3 linked regions of the Drosophila melanogaster genome follow. The protein of the gene in region 1 interacts with the protein of each later gene in a pairwise test. Each region holds a gene or a part of one and is shown in the gene's direction. Other genes may lie near its edges.

Region 1 (9,648 bases):
TTCACCAAAACACACTGCAATTTGGTTGTGTTCAATTTTTTGCCAGGTTTGATTCGAACCATTTTTGAATGCCTTTCGCGCACGCAACGTGTATTTAATTGATTAATACCTATGTTTATAAGCCGCACGCATTTACATAACTTGGGTGTATAAACACTTATACAAAAAAGTCCAAGAGTATGCAGCAAAAAATGGAATGCAAGTAGTTCGACTTTTCCAACCGCCAGAGGGCGCCTGTCATCCATCCTCTCACTTTTTGCAGCCATTAATTGATTTTCTGTTTACGCATAGCCCCACATTTGGGGCGCAGATGGAGGTGGGCACCAAAGTTCCCTAGTCTGATGCTTCCGGTTACTTCTTGTTATTATATTTCATTTGCCATACAACTTTGTTGTGATGCCTGATTCCAACATGTCGTGAATAATCCAGCAACGCAGGTTAAAACCGGAAGGATTTAAGGCAAGGCTAGCGGATTTAATACCCAGTGAGTAAGTTGGGGCTAAGTTCAAAGATCTATCTGCTTTCAGAAGTGAAAAATAAACATATGTCTTAGGTTCGGCATAAGATATTCAGCAAAAATAGATATTTTATTAAAAAAAATTAAAGAGCTTCTGAGCTGGATTAATCTTTTTGCTCTAGTAATGGGTATGCGAGAAGTTTGCACTGCAACTTTTGCGATATTTCTGCTGGGCGGAAAGCCAGAGCTGGGATGCCTTCTGCAGAAGGCGCAGTAGGGGCAGGAAGTCCGGCGGAGAGGAGGCACATGCCAACACTTGTTTTCTGTTAAGTGATTTAGGCCAAACTTTTGCACCCTCCCCTCGCTGTGTGCCATTCGCGCTTTTGGCATTTCGGGCTTAGACGTAGACGTAGACGAGGGGCGCCTGATGGGTTCCTTCCCCGATGTTGCAGGTCCTTGTGTTGCGGTTCCGCCGTGGCTCGGTTATTTTGTGAAGCATCGGAAATGTTTTGCAAAACTTTCGCGAAAGCGAGCGAATTCAACGAGAAGCGTTTAAATGCTTGCCGCATAATCGCCGTCAAGTGAATTTCATTTTCTTGACAAACAACATGAACTTCAAAGGAACTTGGCCAAAAAAACCCTCTTTTGAGTGGCTCAAAGGAAATTGAAATTGTTAACTGTGTGCGGGAAACTAGAAAAAAAGTGCCAAACTGGTTTACAGACTGTCACGCATTGATGTATTGCGTTCCTCGTTTTCCGGGATTTTGGATTGATGACTCTGATACGCTTGTGCCTCCTAGTTAATGCCATTTAAACAATGGATTATACAGTGTATTATATTAAACAACCATACCAAGTATAGTAAATACCCACAATTATTTGTTCAACGCAACGTTTTGACATCGTAATCGACATTACCTGCGCATATTTATCCCGTTTGGATTGCACATGATATTCCACCGAATTCCCTGCGAGGCAACTGACAAGTTTAGTTACTTTACTTCTATCTGACAGCATTAAAACTGTCTCCTCGAATTCTGACTTGCTGGAAGAATTTCCCGGCCAAAGTTTGTCTGGGTAACCATATTACATGGATAACACCCACAAAACACTAGCAACATCACCGGCAGAAGGAGCAAAAGGATCAGGATGAGGAGCAGGCGGAGCAGCAGCACGCGAGAAATGTTTCGTGACAAAGAATTCCAAGAGTTAAAAAATAAAATGAGGTAGAGAAAATAAAAATAAAATAAAACAGAGGGAAACCGCTGAAAACGAAGAAAATTGAGCTGGGTAAGAAAAACGTTTGCGAGACATAGTAAAGCGTGGCAAGTAGGAGAAACTTTGAAGTTTTATTAAAAATACACACCGCAACATTCCTCAAGAACTTTCGCACACGAAAACGTGAGATAATTTACTAGAAGCGAGCCGGACGAGGCAACTCCACTCCGTTCCCTTGCAGGTGGGAATGTGGAAATGTAGGAAAAGTGGAAAAGCGCACCCGAAAACCGGCAGCGAAGTGTCAAGTAGTTTGGATAAACTTTTGTGACAGCTCAATTTGGATGGGAAAATGTGTGTAAGCCGGCACTCCAGCCAAGCTGCTCCTTTTGCCAAAAGCAAAATATTAGAATATTAATAGCCAGCCAGCTTTGCAGGGACATCTAATGAGCGGAAGTCCTCCTTTGCCGCACACCAAAGTCCAAGGACTTTCTCTCTGACATGGGTCCTCATACAAAGCGGGGAACTTAAGTCGCAAACTTCGGTCAACAAATGAGAAAATGAAAGGAGCTCATTGCTTGGACGCTAATCTGTTTTATAAGCAGATATAGCGAAACTAGTCACTTTAATACTTAAATACTTTAATTAAAGGAAAGGCAACTCACTCTCTCTCTCGAAGGACAAGAACGTCAGCGTTGATGTGATATATTATTAATAATTTACACAGTATTGTTTAGGAGTGACCCAGATCAATTCGTCTATATACCAACGTGCTGAGCACAATGTAGAACAATGGGGAAACACCTTCGTAGGTAAAGTTAAACACAGCTGCAGAACGCAAGGATCCACAAACATGCACTTAACTAACCAGTTCCGCCCAGCCTTCCGATTTCCATCGCTCCACTTTGCCGGGCAAATGAACAAGATGTTGTGGTTATGGAAATTAGCTCAGGAGGATGACAAACACTGTGCGTGCCGAGATTTATGCCCCGATGTTGCCCGAAACTACTTCAGATGCAACTACAACGGACACATCCTGCGAAACGGGAGCACCGATTCAGGACGACAGCAAAGACAGAGACACATGGCCTGTGGTGACAGGCAGGATGATGTCAACCGGAGAGCAAACCCTCTGGCTAATTGGTATTTATTGCTGCTTAAATGCCCAAAACTTGTTGATACTTTTCACCTCGTATTTCAGACACTCATTCATCCAGCCAGCCACTCGAAGTGAAACGCCCCCAAGATGGAGGAATCACCACCGGCGCAGGAGGAGCAGCAACCAATCGCAGATCGCCGGTCTATAATTAGGCGCAGAATCGATAGACTCGCTCGACGATCGCGGGCAGGCACATATGTTCATATGTTTCGGATTGGATTCTTCTGGGGAATGGTGGATGGGGGATGGGAGATGGGGGATGGGCATGGGATCTGGCGAAGCACTCTTTCGATTTTGAGGCTAATTTCAGTGGGCACACGACTTTGGCACGGTTTAGTATCGTCGCGACAATTATCGTAATTAACTCGTTTATGTGTTGTGTGCTAATCCAATTACCAAGTTCGCACAGGATGCCCCCATTTGCGGCAGGCGAACATAACACAAATTGCACAAATTAATTCAATCAATCGGACACATTAAGAATTGAGTTTAAAATTCGAAAAAATCAATTCTATTATCTTGAGTTCAGTTTGTTGTTCAGTTAATACAGCCCAAAGTTAAGAGTTCAACCTTTAAGTAAAACTCGAGACGGATATCCTAAACATGCTTAACTACCAGCAGCAATTGCATTCGCTGCCCGTCGGTAATCCGGGAAATTTTTACTACGGACCGACGGTTTCCGGCGAGATATACTCATCTCACCAATCGCACAACCTGGAGTCCGAGGACAAGCTGGAGGATCGGGAAGAAAGTGGCAGGAACCTGGATAAAATTCACAGATTCTCCGTGGACAATATCATGGAAATGAAACACGACGCCTATTCCAAGGGAAAAATGGCCATGGAACTCAGTAGCAACTTCGGTGAGTTCAAATGGAACAATCTTGTGCTTATAGTGCAGATAAATAAAAAATTCTGTGAGTGAAATGTGAAAACTTGCAATAAAAGCAAAACAAATCAATCAATCTGCTTTGAATTATAGATAGTTAGGTAAATTTTTGCATATTAAAACGAAAGAAAGTCGAGATAAACGACTATCACATACCCATTACTCAGGTCAGGCAAGTGCAATGTTATGTTGGAATGTTATTGCATTTTCATTCAAAGTCAAAGGCTTTCATGGCTGAATTAGACCATGAAAACCAAAATGAATACTGTTTTTATTATTTTCTATCAAAAATATTCATCACTCTCGAAATGTAATTAATCTGGGTGTGGAGCACTGGTTCATTTAATTTTAAAAGCCTCTTAAATGGCATAGTTCACAGATGTGCTCAATTATGTGCAACAGAATACGTAATGCCACAGGAGTTTAGTTACATCTGCATTTGAGTTCTGCAACTTTATGAGGCTTACTGTGCCTAATTCATAAATGATAGATTCGTGCGAGTTGCGGGCCAAGAGAACTTATGACGTTATTCGCACAGCTGCCATATCTTTAGATATGCACAAATAGGTGCTACCGTATATGCGGTGGGAGAATTCATATAAATGTGCGGGGGCCGTGGGGCAACTCATGGATGACAATTAGGTGCCAGATGTGGGCGACATTCGCTCATTTCGCTGCTCCCAATGCCGCTGCAATGTCATCTCCGTGCATTTTTCCTGTTGCGGTTGCGGCTTTAACCCCTCCGTGCCCCCAGTGCCCCATAGTCTGCGCATTAACCGACCGGGAGAAAGCTGTCAACATATTGCTACTGGTTGGCAGCTCTGGCATAATTTGCAGCGCTATCCTTGCCGAAAACGAAGATCCCACCGAAAAACGCAGAGGAACCGAAACTCTGGCAGTTCGTGTAAAGTTCTTCCCGTGCTTATATTTTTTTTTGGATTTCTATCCGTGGCAGAGGAAACATTTCCGAGCCGACAACACTTCAACATTGTCAACATGACAAAACGTAATCAAAGCTGACATGATATTCCCTCAGTGGCCGCATGCCTTTGAAGCATCCGAGGCAGCGACTAGCTGCCACGACTATAATTTCCAAGTGGAGCATATAAAACGCCAGTCCCACTGTAACCAGTCCCAGACGCAGCACGCACTCCACTGCCACTACTCCTAGCCCCGCCCCCCCCCCCTCACCCCTCGTTTATTTTCGTCGCTCCATCGGATTGTAACATGTGCCAGTAGCATCCAGGCACTGTAAGAAAAACAGTTTACCTGCCACTTAAAAAATCGAATCTATCTGTTATGCTCATAGATTAAAAGGCGAGGTGAACTTTGTTCACTTTATAATATGATTCGATAACATTTTATTGGAAATATGCAAAGGTACTCCCTTTTAACAATGATTTATTTGTTGTAGCAAGTAGTTCATGCAGTGCCCCAACCCCCATTGATTTCTCACAGTGCAACTGCTCAGTCATTCTTCACCCCTTGCCGTTGCCGCTCTGAAAATCTGATTGAGGTTTCCCTTTCGATTTGTTGGTTTTTTATTAAGCCGCAACTGTTTTTTATCGCTCGTTGGCAATTCAAATTAAAGATCTTCCCTTCACTCAGTGCCCCAAACTCCCCTTCCCATCCCCTGGGACATCAGTTGCCGATGCAGTTGCTCCCGTTTCCCACTATTCCGTGTACTTGGAGTGCTCCGAGCTGATCTACGATGCAGTTCCCAACTCCGTGGACAGCTCGGCTGACAAATTGAGACAAATGGCGTGGGTAGGAGGATATCTGATGGCGATGGGGATACTCACGGCGATGGCCACCCTGAAATTCCAGCAGGCTGCGAGGCGGAGAAATCAGAAGCAATTTATCGATACAAGACTAAAAACTGAAACTCGAAGGAGAGTGTAATACTCACTACAGCCCATGCAGCCATGCAAAATAAAACCATATAATATAATAATATAATGATCTCATTTTAGTTTTTTCCTCCGGCTTTTAGCTGAAATGCTTAATTTTTTCCCTAGCATTCCGTCCAATTAGTTTGAAAATAGATAAATTCGAAGGAAAACGGCTTAAGTCTTTTGTAAATCGGTTTTCAAGCCAATTCTATGGAAAATCAATTAATGGTCGCCTGAAGCAGGGAGCCCGCTTATGACCGCTTAATGTCACAATTTCACTTTAATTAATAGATCGTAAATGCGCTAGCTCATGTTTGTTGGGCGACGAAATTAGTAGACAGCTGTCCGCCGATGTCGTCAAAAGATATTTTATGGCTCATGCCATTTGTTTATGACCCCCCCTCCCACTCCCTAAAGCCCCAAAGTCCCCACTCCACTCCTTTCGTGGCCCCCAGCCGACGGATCAAACGGAATGCAAAATTTTATGTGTTCACGACAAGCCATAAAAGTAAATTTCCTAGCTGGCTGCCAAATTAATTGATATCCGTTGGCTCTTATCGATTATTTACGAGCGTTTTTCACCTCAGTCCGTCAAAGAGATTTTTCATTCGACCCTCGGGAAAAGGAAAACGCAAAAGTAAAAGTGAAAGTGAAAATTCCCAATTTAATGGCTCCCTGATTGCAGGCCCCACTGGCGCAGGATGCGGTGGCGCAGATCGGCCAGCTCCCTGCTCCGGAAATCTGCCGGCGGGTGGTGGCCACCACTCGAGGAAGCCGCGCCGGAATCGCACCACCTTCAGCTCCGCCCAATTGACGGCCTTGGAGAAGGTCTTCGAACGCACTCACTATCCGGATGCCTTTGTTCGCGAGGAGCTGGCCACCAAGGTGCATCTGAGCGAGGCCAGAGTTCAGGTGGGTTTTAATTGCATTGGTAAGCTTCGATGATACCTGTTTAAATATTAAGTGTTCACCTAATAGAAAGCCACACCGTATCCCATTGTGTTGCACATACATTCCAGCAGCTATCTGCTAACTTAGTTAACAATCCATTGCAGCTAATTCCCCTATCAATTACTTGGACGCCCGTTTCAGGTCTGGTTTCAGAATCGGCGTGCGAAATTCCGGCGGAACGAACGGAGCGTGGGCTCCAGGACACTTCTGGATACGGCTCCTCAGTTGGTGCCGGCGCCGATTAGCAATAATATGCACAAATATGCCAATATGCCACACCCACACCCACAGCCGCCACCGCCCCCCGGCGCATACGCCCTCAACTTTGGGCCGCTGGAGCTGCGCTCGTGCCAGAACTATACGAACTGCTACGGGGGATTTGGATCGAGTGGTGCCAGCGGCAGTGGCGTCTGCTCCTTCTTTGGGGCCACCAACTATTGTGTGGCCGCCAATTATGCGAAGAACGCCTATCCGCCGCTGTGATGGCGCGGCTAGCTTTAATGGGCCCCATGAGGTTACTTCATGCATATGTATTTCAATTAGCCAAATTGCATTAATGCTTAAAAACGTATTAGGACCGGCATATTCGCCTACCTGACTAATATTTATACTTATACGATGCCGACACAGATGCAGATACATTCACAGATACAGATACAGATACAGACACAGACAGAGATACAGATACCGATACAGATGTGACGCACTGAAGGAGAAAACCCAATAAATAACATTTTCTAAGAAAACACGGGCACTGTGTGTTTGACTGGGAGCTGTGTTTATTTTTTGGAAAATCTACTGCGCTTAAGGGCCAATAAACTACAATTTGCTAGGGCACAAACTGAACTATAGAAAGATTGTAATCATAATCACGTTTGGATAACTCTTTCGATTGGATTATCTTGCGAGACACAAACAATTACCTTCTCGTCGATATGTGAAAGTTTTCCATTTACGAAACTGTCACTCAGGCGTTTGGCGATGACATGGCTTATTTAATTATTGACTTAGTAATACGATTTAATTAAAAATTCATAACCCCGCCGCACACTGGCAAAGCAGCTCGAGGCTTCCATTTGCATCTGCGAGTGTGTGTTATTTCACCCGCATGTGTTAATTTGTATAATAAAACTTAATTAAAGCGAAAACAAATAAACAAACGGGCGAGGAGTGGATAGGAAAGCTGTGGAGAGAAGAGGCGAGGGGCACAAACAGCAAGCAGCAAGGGAAAACTTTTGCCTAGCCGCAAATGTTGGAAAAGCGAAGCCACAATCAAAGTGGATTAAGATTGTGGAAATCTCGGTTTTCTAGGGCAATTAAAAGTACAGATTGCCATTCGGGGCACAATAGAATGTGCAGCAGTGCTCTCAAACGCATTCCCAAAAACTGGGAAAGGGGAAGTGGCCACAGAAGCATCTTCCCCGATACTCCAGATCCCGGATCCGGATGCACGGATATACGGATACGTACGGATACGTACGGATCCAGTCTAGCAGCTGGAAGGTTAACAAGTATGTAATATATTTAAATGCAAATAAAAATTCCCCTTTTCTCCGCAGGCCAAACGAGATGGGAGTGAACTGAGCAGCCGGACGAAATGCGAAATGCAAATTAACATTCGGAATGTGGAACGGTTTGTGCTGCTAATTTGCATAAAGCGTTGGCGCTTCGAGCGTAAAACATTTTTACAATATTTACGAAATTGCAATAATGTTTGAAAAGCAGAACGTCGGCGGCGATGGAAAAATGCGTTTTGTCCCTTTGTTTTTGGTTTTTTTTCTGCGATGCGGCAAATTGTTTGCCGGCAAACGGACGACATTCCTGCTGACAGGCGAACATGTTGCAGAAGTCCTCCTCGAAAGGGAAATACAAATTTATGGGCCAAACAACAGGCTCCTGTCAAATCAAATGGCAAACGGAAATACCGGAGCAAACGGCCTCCTTATGCCAGCCAAGTGCGGCATTATGGAACGGTGTATTATCCCTTTCGAAGGACACAAAGCGTTCCACTCTCCTCTCCACAGAAAGCAGCTGAGGTGAACAGTTCAAATTAATCAAGGACCCACTTTTATGTTACATGGAAACTCGCTTGCTCGTAAGAAACGTGTAGATACAATTGGATAACTGATAAATAGTTAATAAGAGTGCTAATTTAACCACCGTTAATCAGTGGATACAGCAGAGACCCCAAAGTGACGGTTGGAATCCCCCATGACGAGCTCTATAATTAGGTGATAATTTCTGTCTCTGTTAAAAAGCAATTATTTATAAGAGACCTAATGAACGGAGCATCCACGCAGATGGAGTCGCCCCCATGTGGCATAAAGTAGATGACACGGGCAACATTGTCAGATGAAAGGGAAACGCGATGCAAAGATCTTGGATGATGAAGGGGAGGATCCCGGTGACAGCTTCTTAAGTTCCATGCCGCCACGGGCACAAGATTTGTGTACCATAAACATCTTTCGGTTTGAGTCCTGTCCAAATATGCCACACGATGATGGATACATCACTCGGATCATAAAAAAGGGGCGCCATTGAAATCGAGAAGGGTAAATTAAAACTGAGGTAATAATCACACATGAAAAATACTATAAAAACGAGACTAGAAAAATGTTACAACTAAATAGATGTTAAATTCAAACTTACTAAACATAAAAAATCAAATAATCATTTAGTAATTACAGACATATAATTTTTATTTCAGCTGTCATTGGAAATTTTCCGATGATTTGGAAGCGATTTCTCCAGATGACATAGAAATTGTTTCTAGATCTCGCAAAATTTCAAATTACAACTCAAGCGAAGCGTGTCAGAACGACATGTTCGATTTGGAAGACAATTCCTTTTGCCAAATGTATAGTTTAAGAATATTGATATCTGCACATCCTTGATAAAGACTGTGGTAATCGGAACTTTGAAATCTCATCCACAAGGCCTTAAAGGCATTCATATCCCAGGAATACTAACTCCTCATGTCAGAAGATTTTCAAAAGAGATTGACTAGGATTCACATGGACCGCCTTGGACTGACTTGCTGCCTCGCAGCCGAGATGCCTTCCATTGCAGAATGGCGAACATTAGAA
Region 2 (6,993 bases), on another chromosome or scaffold:
TAAAAATAAAAAATAAAAAAAATGGCAAATTTCCTTCGGTTAGCAAATGATTCTTCGCAATTTTTTTAAAAATCACTTACCATCTCGCTTATTATTTTGTATTAAAATTACGATTATGATGATAATGGATCGTGGCGACAAAGATGTCCGCACATGTTTCCAAAGCTTATTATTTTTAATATTATTGATTGCCTAGGCAAGTTTAGTTCGTAGGTATACACTTAATTGATAATACTTATTTTTTTTTTTCATAATTGTATACACACACACACACACACACACACCTATGCTTAGAGTTGTTAACTAATTTAAAAACAAAAAAGGAGAAAACCCCAACAAAAAAAAAAAAAAGAACAAACTAAAGAAAATCGAAACAAAATCAATTCAAGAAATCCAACCGCAAGGGAACGTCTCAGTCCAAATTGTCGGTACACGAATTCTTATTTTATTTGATTAACCAAAAGAAAATGTTATTAAAAATGTAGTCCGATCCCCATTCCCAAATCATCATCCTACGGACCGCTATGAGCAAATTCAATGAAATCTTATTGTTTTTCGATTTTAATTCGGCACATCACCCATGCACCTGTAATTTATACACACGCAAAAGGAACACCCACACACGCACACACACACACCCACACCTACACCTACACCCAAACACGCCGGCAGACACTGGGAAGAAATCCAGCACGATCCGCAGAATCAGAACCACAAACCAATAATATGGATACAAATGTAGTTAATAAGTCACAACAACCACGACATTTTTGTATATGCCAATGACGCGCCTAAACAAAAAAAAAAATGAAAACAAAAAAAAAAGAATGAAAAGTAATCCGAAATTGCTTTCTAATGACCAGAAGCCTTCGCAAGTAGGTGCCAGGATGCAGGATGCTATCCCCCAAATTGCAGTGACAATTCAGTAAATTAATGATACATGTTTGGAGTCTCTGCCGTCTTCCACCATGTGTATTCTTCGTCTACATCTTCACCCCCACCATCTGCATGCATCCAATCCTCCTTGTCAATGTGTCCTTGTATATAGATCCATGGGTCCTTCCAGATCATCTTTCCATCGGGGACTCTGATCCTGAAATAGCAGTAGGATTTATGATAGCAACTATCTGTGTCGAATCTAACCAAATCTGTAACTGTATCATGCACCTTTTTTTTTATGTATATTTGGGGTTCTGATTTCTATTTATTCTGTGCGTGAGCCTGTGTGTGCCCTGCAGTTGCATTCACCGATCCATTTTCATCGATGAATCACCGCTCAATTTGTTTTCAAAGAGCGATGAATTGTGGAACTGCAGGGTGTGGTTGAGATTAGGGATGCGTGTTTGTCTTTGTATATAGAGGCGGTCAATAGGTTCGTGTCTTTCCCCGGCTTACACTCGCAGCAAATTTCGTTTTGTTTGTGTAAATTAGTTTTTTTTTTTCGAAAGCGAGTAAAGAACAGAAAAAAAGATCACAAAACAACCCTTATTCTATATAAAGAACATATATATATATATATACAAAAATATATATATTTAAATACGAAAAATGTTGTATCTAGTAATACATATACAAAAATGAGAAACATTTTTTTTCTATACTTAATTTTAGCATTTAATTGAGAATAATTCGCACGAGGAGATAAACGTGAAATGTATGAAAATAAAAATTGGGAAAACCAAACGATTCAAACAAAAGAAGTTTTTAATTCAGTCAATATATATATATAAACAGGAACATATATATAGTAAAACCTCTATATATAGCGACATCCCTATATTTGCATATATGAATATAACACCAACATATATATATATATATATATATATTTTAACATCACCCGACGACAGAACAAGACGCATTTGATTTTGTCCAATCTGATCGAATCGCCCAAGTTCTAGCAGATGCATTTGGCATACTAGCATATAATTGTTGACCTTTTGTTGTTACCTAACGAGGGCATTAACTAGAAGACGATGATGATGATAAGGCGTAGTATAGCAAGATAGAAAGATAGAAAGATAGCCTGATAGCAGGATGGCTGGATAGCTGGATAGGATGGGTCAAGTGGAGTCGAGTCGAGGAGTATGTACCATATAGCAAAAAAAAAAAAAAAAAAAAAAAAACTCACTAAAGAATCACTTTTCTGAAACGTAAAAGCAAACGATCTTAGCCTTAAGCGCCTACCGCTAAACAGAATAACTTTAAAGCAACGTTACGTGTGGCACGTAATGCAGGAACTAATAATACTATTATTAATAATAATAATATTAACTATTACGATTATGAAGCAGAAAATCAAGGGGGAAACTAGTTTTCGCTGGCAGAAAGGGTGGATATAGAAACCATTACATTAACATACATGACATCATTTTGGCCCCTTTAGCATTCTCTAGATATACAAATACAAGAATTCTTAGTAAGCCTATTATTAATGGAGGAGAGCGTGTAAGCAGAAAATGCGAAGGAAACCAATTAACAAGTAAAACGTAAAACATAAAACATATTTTACCTTTAATGCGTACACTTAGTATTAATGAAATGGCCGACAAAAGCAAAAAACTATAAGAAATGAGACAAAAAATAAATAAAAAGGAAAAAAACAAAAAACTAAAGAAAACAGAGAAAATTTGCAAAAAAAAAAAAAAATAATAAAAAAAATAAACAAAAATTCATAAAAAAAAAAACAAACAATAGTGTGTTCTTATTTCATCGAAATTGTAATCGAATCGTTATCAATAGTGCCTTTTTCTATATTTATATATATTTTTACATATGCACAGTAATCAATGGATTGATTATTATTGTTTATTATTGTTTATTATTATTTTGTTTATCTCGAACCTCAGCTGAAATAATCGCAAAAGGGTCGCAACCTGCCAGCAATCACAAATCGTGCGATAAGAAGGTTATCTGCAGCATCAGCACCTTTCTGGGGGCTATAAAAAAGTGATCGCCACCGAATGGGGCGATCAGTTTGACTTTTGAATTCGTCGCGATGTTTTCGATTAACGCCGTGATCCTGGGCATTTTGGTTACTTCCGTTATGGCCCAGGATGCAAGGGGAACGTGTGAACTGAGCATCGGTTCTCCGGCTCCGGTTGTTATTAGCAATTTTGGCTCCCAGCGTTTATTGTTCGATTCCGTGCGAAAATTAGAACGGGAAAATTACCAGACCATTGACCTTTTCTGCGCGAGCGGATTTTCCATAGACTATTACAAGTACTGTTTGATTATCTTCTACTCGCATTTGCTGATGATTTGCTTTCAGCTATTACAACAACCAGATCTCGACTACAATCAAAGCGACTAAACTTACAATGACCTGCGACCCTATTCATCGGTTTACCTATAAAGATGGCATAAAAGATGTAATTAGTGTTCGGTGTCTGGAGGTCGGCCCTCAGTTGTTTGAGAGCATGAACAAATTGCCAAATTGCACGGGCATGACTCTAGTTGTCGGAAGAAAATTCGATGGCATTGGTTTAATAAAATATTCAGCATTGTGCTATGATTTGGCCGCATTTCAATTGAAATATATTGGTTATACCACAAATTTCAATAATATCCAGATTTTCCCAGAGGTGGGTTGTGTTAACTTTTTGAGCAATATTATATATTGTTATATATTCACGTATTTTGTTTTTTTTTTTTTTTTGTTCCATATACATACATGTGTAGACCCAATTGGGACAACTTAACGATATCGGACTTGATACTCCTATCAGTTACCAAAAAAATCTATTCGAGACCATCAGGTAGGTGCAATAAGGAGGTTGCGCTATTCCTGTGATTAGAGGAGTGGCTCTTTGATTAAAATCATAATTAACATAATATCAATTCGAGCAGCAAGAGTGAACTTGATGCGTACTTGGCAAAGGAGAAGCAGTTGTTCACGGAGGACACTTTTCAGGTTGGCAGTTTGGTCCAGGATGAGATGGTTAGTAGACACTTGGTTGTCTACGAGGACTTGCTGACCACCGTCTGGTTGGAGGTTCTGCGTTCCGGCAACTGGAAGCATTGGACGAAGGCAATGCGTGATGCCATCGGTGTCCACTTCGACATTCGTTTGGGTGTTTCCGGAACCGTGAAGCTGCCGACGTTCGCCGGGCAATCATGCAACGGAAGCCGATCGCTCAACATTGAACTGATTGGTGGCAAATTCCTGCCCATTCCCGCCCACATTTGGGCCCATGTTCACGCTGTGGAAAAGTCCGGTACCGGACAGGATGAGTTCGTCATCATTGGACACAACTCGCCCTTCGTGCGTAAATGCCATTGAATGTGTTATGCTCAGAAATATTCAATCCTTTCGATCTTGCAGTATCGCAGTGACTTAAGCAATCTGTGCCCCTCGATGTGCAACCAAGTGTCCTGGCTGAGGAACACCCTCTTCTCCAGACTCCACGAGTTTCCCGCCTTTGGAATGGTGCAGTGCTGCCGTGTGGAGGATGTGGCCCACAAACTGGACAATTTTCCCGGTCCCTTTGAGAATGAAAATATGAATGTCAGCAGGACAACCGAGGCTACCACAATATAAACAGTTCCCTTTATATTATCCCTCTGTTCCAACAAATATGGGACTCTTTGTGTACATGCAATTTGTATAAAGCGCCTTTTAATGCATTAAAATGCATTTAATGCAATAATACTTGTCTATATAATCAGCCCGTATTGCTTTGTATCCGTATACGATCCTTAATTCCAGTAATAAAGTCACAATTTGCGCATATTTGAATCTTTAAATATTATGTCAGTCTTCGACTAGCTCTTGTCGAACGCGGATGTAAAATCTTCTATTCTCTCTGAGAACATTTTGGTGTACATTAAATATTTTCTGTTTTCTTCTTTAATTGTGATATTCGCAAAAAACTACAATCAAACGTTCAAGTGATGCAATTGGCGATGCTGAAGCATCTGCCGTTGAAAAAATGCGTACTAAAAGGAATAAACCACTAGTGGAGCGCCAGAACGAACGGGGCTCCAAGCAATTTACAAATTATTTTCGTCCACTACAAACTTTAGACGATGATAATGATGATAAACCTATTGAAACGGACACACTTGATGAAATAATAATCAAACCACCTCCTATAACATTAATTAAACAAAATACAAAATTTGTACACGAGCTAATGGCTAAAATTAAAACTGATGATTACTTTATTAAAACCATCTCAATTGGAATTAAAATATTTTTACCAAATATGGACTGTTTCAATGCAGCTTGTAACCAACTCAAGGAACATAACTGTGAGTTCTACACGTACGATACTAGATCAAACAAGCCATACAAAGCCATTTTATCCGGGCTGGATAAACTACCAATTGAAACTGTCAAATCCATGCTACAAAACCTAGGATTACAATGCACCGAAGTCAAAATTGTGGAAAAGAAAACTAAGTCTGATCATGAATTATTACTGTACATTGTTTATTTCGTAAACAAAAGTATCACAGTAAAGGAACTGCGCAAAAACTTTATGTATGTCAACCACACTAAAGTACGCTGGGAGTATAAAGTGAAATTGCAGAATAAAATTACTCAATGCTACAATTGCCAACTATTTGGACATGGATCAAATAATTGTTCAGTTAAAACATCATGTGCCCATTGTGCTGGATCACACCAGACTGCCGTATGTATGGACGTAAACAACAAAAAATGCGCTAACTGTAAAGGCGACCATCCATCGACAGAACTGACATGCCCATGCCGAATTTCTTATCTCAATTTACTTTCCAAACGCTCATCACAACGCATTGGAAGAAATAACTTGGAAGCTCATGGAATGAGGAATTCTAAGCAACACATCGCTCCATCTGCTCTCTTTGGAAATCAACCCCAGATCTCATTGCCTACTCAAACTAAGAGAGTGCAACAACTCAACTTTGGTAGCTATAGTAATGCACTCACCAATATTCATACTTTGCCTAATCCCAAAGCAAATATCACAAATGAAACTAATCTCTTTTCATGTGAAGAGATAAATTCTCTTTTGTCTGAATTAATAACAAGACTTAATGAATGCTCCAATAAGGGAGAGCAATTTCAAGTAATTTCTCAGTTAGCGATTAAGTATGTTTACACAAACAAATAATTTTATTGATAATTTGAATATTATGGCATGGAATGCTCGTGCCGTTAGAAACAAACGTATAGAACTGATCAAGTTCTTAGAAAATAATCACATTCACATAGCACTTATAAATGAAACGTGGCTGACTCATAGTGACCGTTTTAATATACCCGAATACACTATATACAGAAATGACAGGAAGGAAAGTAGGGGAGGCGGCGTTGCCATTGCAGTTAGTAACACATTGATACATGAACAAATACCCTGCATTAAAAGTCATGTTATTGAAAATGTAGGTATACAAATCAACACTGACTCTAATTCCAGTCTAAAAATTTACTCTATTTACTTTGCTGGAAATACTTCAAAATGTATTCCTAGTTCATGTGATTTATCTTGGGACCATAATCATTTAAAAAGTTTGTATAGATCTGATCTCCTTAAGATCTCACAAATAAATGGAAATTTTCTAATTTGCGGGGACTTCAACTCGCGCCACAGAGCATGGAAGTGTACCCGAGCCAATGGTTGGGGCAAAATTCTCAATGAACTTTCAGATCTGGGAAAATTCAGTATTTTGTACCCTACGCAACCCACATATATTCCGCATAACCATAAAGCAAAAGCATCAACATTGGACCTATGCCTCACTAATATCCCTAACCAGCTGGCTAATCCAGCAGTAATGCAAGAGCTTTCCTCTGATCACCTACCAGTGGTTATTAAATACTCTACAAATTTTATGCGCAATGTAAAAACATATCCGATTTTGGGAAGGGCAAATTGGGCGCTTTTTAAGAGAATTATAAATGAAAGGCTGATGGTTGAAGAGGTGGTTGTCAACTGCTCACAGATATCGACTTTGGATATTGATAATTTAATCGGCTCTTTCACTAGAGTAATCAATTATGCC
Region 3 (6,858 bases), on another chromosome or scaffold:
TTACTGAGCTCCAAGAGGAAGACACGGGTCGCTTGGTGCAACTGAGAGAGAACTGCAGCATGTTGCACAAATGGCGCAACTTGTAAGACTGGTGCTTGTTTACAAGAATATATTGCATTACTTATATTTTAACTTATATTTTTAGCGAAGGCACTTTACCCCATATGACTTGCAAACTGTGCAATCAGTTGTTGGAATCGGTTCCCCAGCTCCGTTTGCATCTCCTGACCATATTGCATCGTGATCGTGAAAAGCAAATCGACTATTGCAACCAATAAGAATGGTTACATCGTTTAATATGAAAACAGCTGATTTTGAACTTTTTGATTTCTCATTTCTTTTCTTAAAGGACACACTTCACTTGTTTGGTTTAAAAAAATGACGTATTCATGGAATGAAAACAAGTTTTGAATTGAATCTAAACCTACAGAAATCTTCATTACGTTAAATATTTTCTATGTTATGTTGAATGATCTCTCTTCGTTCAATTACGAAGTGTAAAATGTGAAATATAATTTTTTGTTAATTACATCTTTAAAGATATCATTAAATACGAAGACAGCTATACTAACCAGTTCATTACAAGCAAAAATCCATAAACTGCTTGCTGTTTATAAAAATCAAAGCCCTGGGGCGTGCATGTTCTCCCTTTTTGGGCTCTTTTTTTTATTTTAGATTAAACTCACACATTATATTTATGCAACTACAACTACATCGGAGGAATTCTGCAGCGGCACAGGAGTTGGAGTGTTTGCCTCCAGCTCGCAGATCGTATAATTCTGCATGCGGTTTAGGGGCTTGCTGCACAGCCCACACATCTGGTGCTTATACACGCCGTATATCTCGAAATTCAGGATGTTGTACAGATCGAACTGGATGGTGGAGGACAGCTGCGTACACTCCACAATTAAAATATTTTGCTCGTTAAGTTCCACGCTGAAAGGGCATATGGCGTTTATAAAATTGTATATAAAAGCTAAAAAGCATTCTTACCGGAAGTCGTAGTCACTAGTCTCAATTGGCCATTGATATGGCTTTTTGCGCACGTTGTGCGGTGTTTGATCCTGGTTAAGATATATGAGCACTGGTTCATCCGTGGGCAGGCTGCTGTTGTCTGTGCGGGCGCGGAAGTTGAAGTAGTTTTGCCCGATATGGACTCGTAATCCATAGTTGGTGGACAGTCCTTGAACAGGCGAAGGCGTAACAAACACTGCAATCTGTGGCAATGGCGAACAGTCAGCCACCAGCAGCGTGAGACAGTCGGGACGCACCGCAATCTCTCTGAGATTGATTAGGTAATCATCGAAGGTATTGACTATGCCATTGATTACTGAGCAGGAGCGCTTAAGTCCTGAGTCGAAGGTAAGCTCGTGGGAAGCGTCGAACTTCGAGTCCAGCTTGTAGAAGAAGGGGATCTGATGGAAACGCCACTTCACTCCGTTGACCTCCACAGCCAGCCTGAACTGGTCCTGAGGAGTTTGCATTGATATATTTATCTCCTGGCTCATATGCAGACTGTCCACCTTGTCGGCGGATAAGGCGGACACTAAGTGGTCCAGTCGATTCGACCACAGCTCGAACCAGGCGGGCATCTTAAAAAATATAAAGGTGAGTTGATTGGTCTTTTATATATCTTTTCGGAGCGGAAAGTAATTTGATATATCTGATATACTTACATTGTCAAACTTCAGGTCCATGTCGTATTGTGTGATCGAGGTGAAGTTCTCAAAGTTGCTACGCTTGCAATACCTGGAAGTGGGTATGGGCGAGAACTTCAGTACCTCCTTGGGACAGAAGTCGGTGTCCGTCAGCGAGATCTTGTCGGAGCGGAGGAAGGCACGGGCATGCTCCGAGGGCTGGCGAGATGAAAACGTTGGGTTAAAAGAGAATCCACTTCGGGCTTATGTACACTTACACCAGCTCTAGCTGCAAACTGCACCGTGGAACCCTTCTCCGGGCACTCGCTCTCCTCGGTGGCCAGGCCAAACACCACATCGCCATTCAGAGTGTGAGGTCGCTTGGTAAACACCAGCGGTTCATAGGTCAACTTGGTGCAGGCCTAAGGAAAATTATGCAAATGAGTGAGAAAATCCTGTATCCTTAAGTGAAACACCATGTGTTTTTTTTAATGCTTTTTAAAATAAACCTAAAATCTGTCAACTTGATTTTCCAATTATGAAATATGGAATACAATTTAATTTCCTAGCCGGTGGTTCTTCACACAGTATGTCCCAGTAGGTCAATAGCCAGCTATGCTCGGCACGAGTCAAGTGCTCCTTTTGGGTGGCGGGTGTGACACCCTGTAAGTATTATGTAGTTACACTGCTTTCCTCAAGCGTGGAGGCAAGAAAATGTGGGGTTCAGCTGTTCGCTGAAGCTCCAGGCGAGTGGAGTGGGCCACATTACCATGACGAAACAGCAGACAACGGAGCCACAACAACTGCAGCAACGATTAGCGAACCCACACACATCCTGACTGTATGATTGTATGGCCCTCTTCCGCCCCACCGTTCGTGCCTGCGTGCCACCTTACTACACACACACACACACACGCAACCCATCCTTTCAAGCACTCAAGCAGTCGCCGCAATTGTTGGCCCACATTCGTGGGTTGTTTGCGTCCCGGAATCGAGACCGAGAACCGAGTCTGGCAACCGGACTAGAGTAAAGCAGGCCTGGCGGTGTAAGTAGCCCCGTTTGATCAATACGACTCGGTGGGAGCTCAGTAGAAGGCATCCAGTTACGCTACTGTTCAGACGAATTTCTCCTGTCGTAAATTTGTTTTGGGAAAAAATTACATTTTCTTTTATTTTGTAAGAACGCTGTAAAAATCTGGAAAAAAGACCCAGTGCTCTCGACCTATTTTATTTCGGTACCGCCATCGGGAGCATTCAGTTGCGTTGCTTTTATAAATTTATGTTTACTTGATTCTCGGTCGGACAAACTGCAAAATGACTTCGGTAAGTGATATATAAGAAGCATAATAGATATGGATTCTTATGTAGCCACTTTACCTGCTTCTCCAGATCGAGTCAAAACGCGTCCAATATCGAAAGTATTTGGAACGCGCCGGAGTCATCGATGCCTTAAGCAAGGCTCTGATTAAGCTTTACGAAGAGCAGAATAAGCCGGAGGATGCCATTCGCTTTGTACGCAAGTTTATGTGCGAGAGCTGCCCGGACGATGCCCAGTACGATGTAATGAAGAACGACCTCGAGGAGGCCAAGACCCACATCTCGAAACTGGAGCAGGAGCTTGAACGGCTACGCGGACAAATGTGAGTTTCTAAGATCGCGTCTTGTCTGTCCAGTCTTGATTTAGATTCTATTTACACTCAATAGCAAAAAGTCACCGGAGGAGTACCAGGAGCTCACTACTGAGGGCTACAAATCGCTCATGGATGATGAGGAGAACGTGAGCTCACTGCTGCGCAAATACCTGACTCCGGAATTGCTGGAGGAGTACATGCTGGTCACCACACCTGCGCCGGTGGATGCCTACCTATACGATTGCGCCGTCTCCGGATTCGAGCACCACGACGCGCCCGTGGGCATTTTCGCGGCAGATGCTGACAGCTATGACGTGTTCAACAAACTCTTTGATCCGATCATAAAGGACTATCATGGCCAGATGGACAACGAGAACGATGTGCTGCAGAAAGACCCAGACTTTGGCAACGTGGACGAGATCGAGAACTTGGATCCGGAGCGCAAGTACATTCTGTCCGCACGAATCAGATTGGCTCGCAATATCGAAGGTCTGCCCTTCTTCCCCAAACTGACCGAGAAGCAATTCATAGAGGTGGAGGAGAAGGTGCGTTCGGCCACGGAGACAATGGATGGCGAGCTGATTGGCTCCTATCTGACAATGGCGGACATCGATGCTGAGACCCAGGCGGAGATGGTCAAGAGACATATATTATTCCAGCGCGGCGATGAGAAGCTGACCACAGCCGGCTGCTATCGTTTCTGGCCAACTGGTCGTGGTGTCTACCACAATCCCGCCGAGACCTTCTTGATCTGGGTGAATCGCCAGGACCATGTGCACATTATGTCCATGGCACAGTGCGGCGACTTGGGCGATGTTTACAATCGCCTTGTCAACGGTCTAACCGAACTGGAGAAGACGTTGGCCTTTGCCCGGCATCCGCGTTATGGAAACCTTACGGCTTGCCCCACCAATTTGGGCACCACCCTGCGGGCTTCGGTGCACATCCGTCTGCCGCTACTCAGCAAGGACCCCGATCGTCTACTCGCCCTCGCCGAGGAACAGCAGCTGCAGGTACGCGGCACCGATGGCGGCGAGCTGTCCACCGTGGAAGATGGTGTCATGGACATATCAAATAAGAGGAAGCTTGGTTTCACCGAGTTCGAACTGGTCAAAACTCTGCAGGATGGCGTTGTGACCCTGATTAACGCAGAGGAAGAGCTCGAAATATCCGGACAGGAGGGTTAGAAACAAATAGCCAATACTTAAAAACCTTGTAAAGCAATTAATATCACTATAAAGTACTCACGAACACTCACAGACGAACACTTAGAGAAACAGGAGAAACGTATCTTTGGTTAAATAAATTTGTCCCTAGCCACAGACAATCACTCACCTTCCAGTCGTCCTCGTCATCCTTTGAATTTCGCTGAACCTGGCCGGTCAGCTTGAACCAATTGGACTTGGTCGATGCCAGCACGTCCAGGGTAATGTTCCATCTATGAAGTGCATCCGCAGCATGATTTTCGTTCATGTGGTCCGTGTGCTCCAATGTAAGGCCGATCTGCTTGCCTTTCATGTCCGACGTTTTCAAAACGTCTTCGGCACAAAAGTTACCTTCGATCTGAACGAAAATTGGTTTTAGCTTTAAATATTGTTAAATATTTAATTTTATTTCTCACCCTGGTGTTCTTCTCGTTGTACATAAGCATGGTAAAGTTGCGATCGTGGCCCAGGTGTATGGAACTTAGCTGGGTGAAGCCAAATATGTACATCAAAGCATTGACCACCATATTGCCGGAGAACCCACTGGAAGTGAAGTGATTAGCTGAGTAGCAAATCGGTTTCGAAATTCAAAAATTACTTCTCCGTGAACTCGGACTTTAGCAGCATCCCCCTGTACTTGATGAGCTCGTTGAGATTGGTGGTCATGCTCAGTCGGACGCCCAAATCCGTCATTGGGTAGCTAAATAGTTGAACCTGCGAGCTTGACTTTATTATTATTCTTAATTTTACCCATTTTCAGATGCTTAAAGTAGTTAATTAAATTTAGTTAATTTATTTCATATATTTTGGTATTATTTTTCTCAACAAAACACTTACCACATCGTTCCGACCCTCGGGCACCATGATCTCTTCGAAGGGCGCCGCCGCTGTCTTCGTGATCAAACCCCTGGTCTTGGTCACCGCCCGCGACTTGAAGGACAGGCCACTGGTCAGGTTTTGGGGTCGGGAGAAGGAGTAGCGCCTGCACTTACTGCCACTCTCGTTCAGATGCAGTTCGCTGCTAAAGGGGATGTAGATGAGGAAGCCCTGCTCCCGGTTGATCTCGTGATCGAGGTTGAGGAACGGATTGTAGCTACGACTCCGCACCGAGGCGTATGAAGAGTATCGGGCATCGATTTCCAGCGTGTGCTTGGTTATGGGCGAGTTCCGCTGCTCTGTTATATTACCACGCAACGAGGTTAGTACGGTGGTCTGCAGCAGGACGTCGGAGGAGGTTCCCAGCACCGTGGGCACCGTGTAGCGATTCATGAAAGGCCAACGAACAGTCTGCATGTTTATGTGACTGTCTGTCCGAATGATTTGCTGCATTCTTTCCAGAACTGTGGAAAACGGGCATGAACCGCACATGGCTGATGGTCAAGAGGTCAATGTACTCACTGTTGTCGTAGGTCAGCTGCCGGAACATCCGCTGGTTGAGGTAGTACGACAGCACCGTCTTGCCCTCCATTTGCAGGATGAACTCCAGATGCAGGTCCTTCGAGTTGATGATCGGAGCCTGCAGCATGGCCAATAGAGCCTTGATGCTCTTAAAGGTAAAAGGATCGCTGCCATTTCGCGATTGCATCTTGTTCAGGATGGTATCTGGCAGCCCACGTGCCTTGATGTATAGCTGGAAGAAGTAGAGATGGCTTATTTGATTCTTGAAACACCGAGAGGTTGTACTTACCGCCAGTTGTCCTGTGAATTTGCCTAGAGCTTCGGTGTCGAATTTGAAGAAGGCCACCACTGGCATGTCCGACTTTGGATCGCCCACGAGGAATACCTGAAGCATTGCACCGATGCCGAACTTGGAGTCGCGATAGTCAAAGATGTAGTTACCGGTGACCCAGTAGCGTGACTCGGGCTTCTGGGGCAGATGACGATGCATGTAGGACAACAGACGGCGTCTAAATGAAGGATATACGACATCTGTGGATGGCTGTGAATTAGGCTGAGTTAGATGACTTACAGGTGCTGATAGCAGGGATATGTTGTCTCCGAGATGCTCGTCACCGTCGTCCGGTAGTAGTTAATCATGTGAGGGTCCGTCTCGCTCTGAATGATGCGATGGATGCTGATGAGACGGGCGGCCGTGGGGTTGGAAATCAATAGCAGCGTAACCGCTGCCACACGAAGTTCTAGGCTGGCATTTCGGGACTCAAAGATTGGCCAGTAGACCTCGTATATGCGCTCCGCTCGACGATCGGCCAGTGCCAGGGTCGTCCAGGCGGCCTGGAACTTCAGATCCTCGTGCTCGTTGGGGTCCTGAACAATGGGCTCCAGATAGTTGGCCACGTTCCCCAATTGCAAGTTGTTTAGACCCTGCAGATACAACATCTTCTGGTCGAAGTCGCGATCGCCTGCGATGAATGATATTAGTTTATA

What was found.
Region 2: the proteins of CG9876 (region 1) and CG2233 interact in a two-hybrid assay, tested with the Drosophila melanogaster proteins (one large-scale study listed by BioGRID).
Region 3: the proteins of CG9876 (region 1) and CG4546 interact in a two-hybrid assay, tested with the Drosophila melanogaster proteins (one large-scale study listed by BioGRID).

What each region holds. Positions count from the first base shown.
Region 1 is NT_033778.4:23,087,756-23,097,403, reverse strand, and holds CG9876 (uncharacterized protein), read left to right. Parts: upstream 1-3,137; 5' UTR 3,138-3,434; coding exon 3,435-3,693; intron 3,694-6,296; coding exon 6,297-6,523; intron 6,524-6,703; coding exon 6,704-7,045; 3' UTR 7,046-7,304; downstream 7,305-9,648. Other genes in the region: CG13538 (uncharacterized protein), read right to left, coding at 9,566-9,648.
Region 2 is NC_004354.4:8,033,491-8,040,483, reverse strand, and holds CG2233 (uncharacterized protein), read left to right. Parts: upstream 1-2,966; 5' UTR 2,967-2,998; coding exon 2,999-3,222; intron 3,223-3,271; coding exon 3,272-3,584; intron 3,585-3,681; coding exon 3,682-3,758; intron 3,759-3,849; coding exon 3,850-4,264; intron 4,265-4,324; coding exon 4,325-4,540; 3' UTR 4,541-4,743; downstream 4,744-6,993.
Region 3 is NT_033777.3:15,843,829-15,850,686, forward strand, and holds CG4546 (uncharacterized protein), read left to right. Parts: upstream 1-2,705; 5' UTR 2,706-2,951; coding exon 2,952-2,960; intron 2,961-3,026; coding exon 3,027-3,277; intron 3,278-3,341; coding exon 3,342-4,455; 3' UTR 4,456-4,603; downstream 4,604-6,858. Other genes in the region: spn-E (spindle E), read left to right, coding at 1-82, 146-278; cv-d (crossveinless d), read right to left, coding at 696-936, 994-1,592, 1,677-1,856, 1,916-2,059, 4,604-4,831, 4,890-5,016, 5,072-5,187, 5,311-5,813 and 3 more.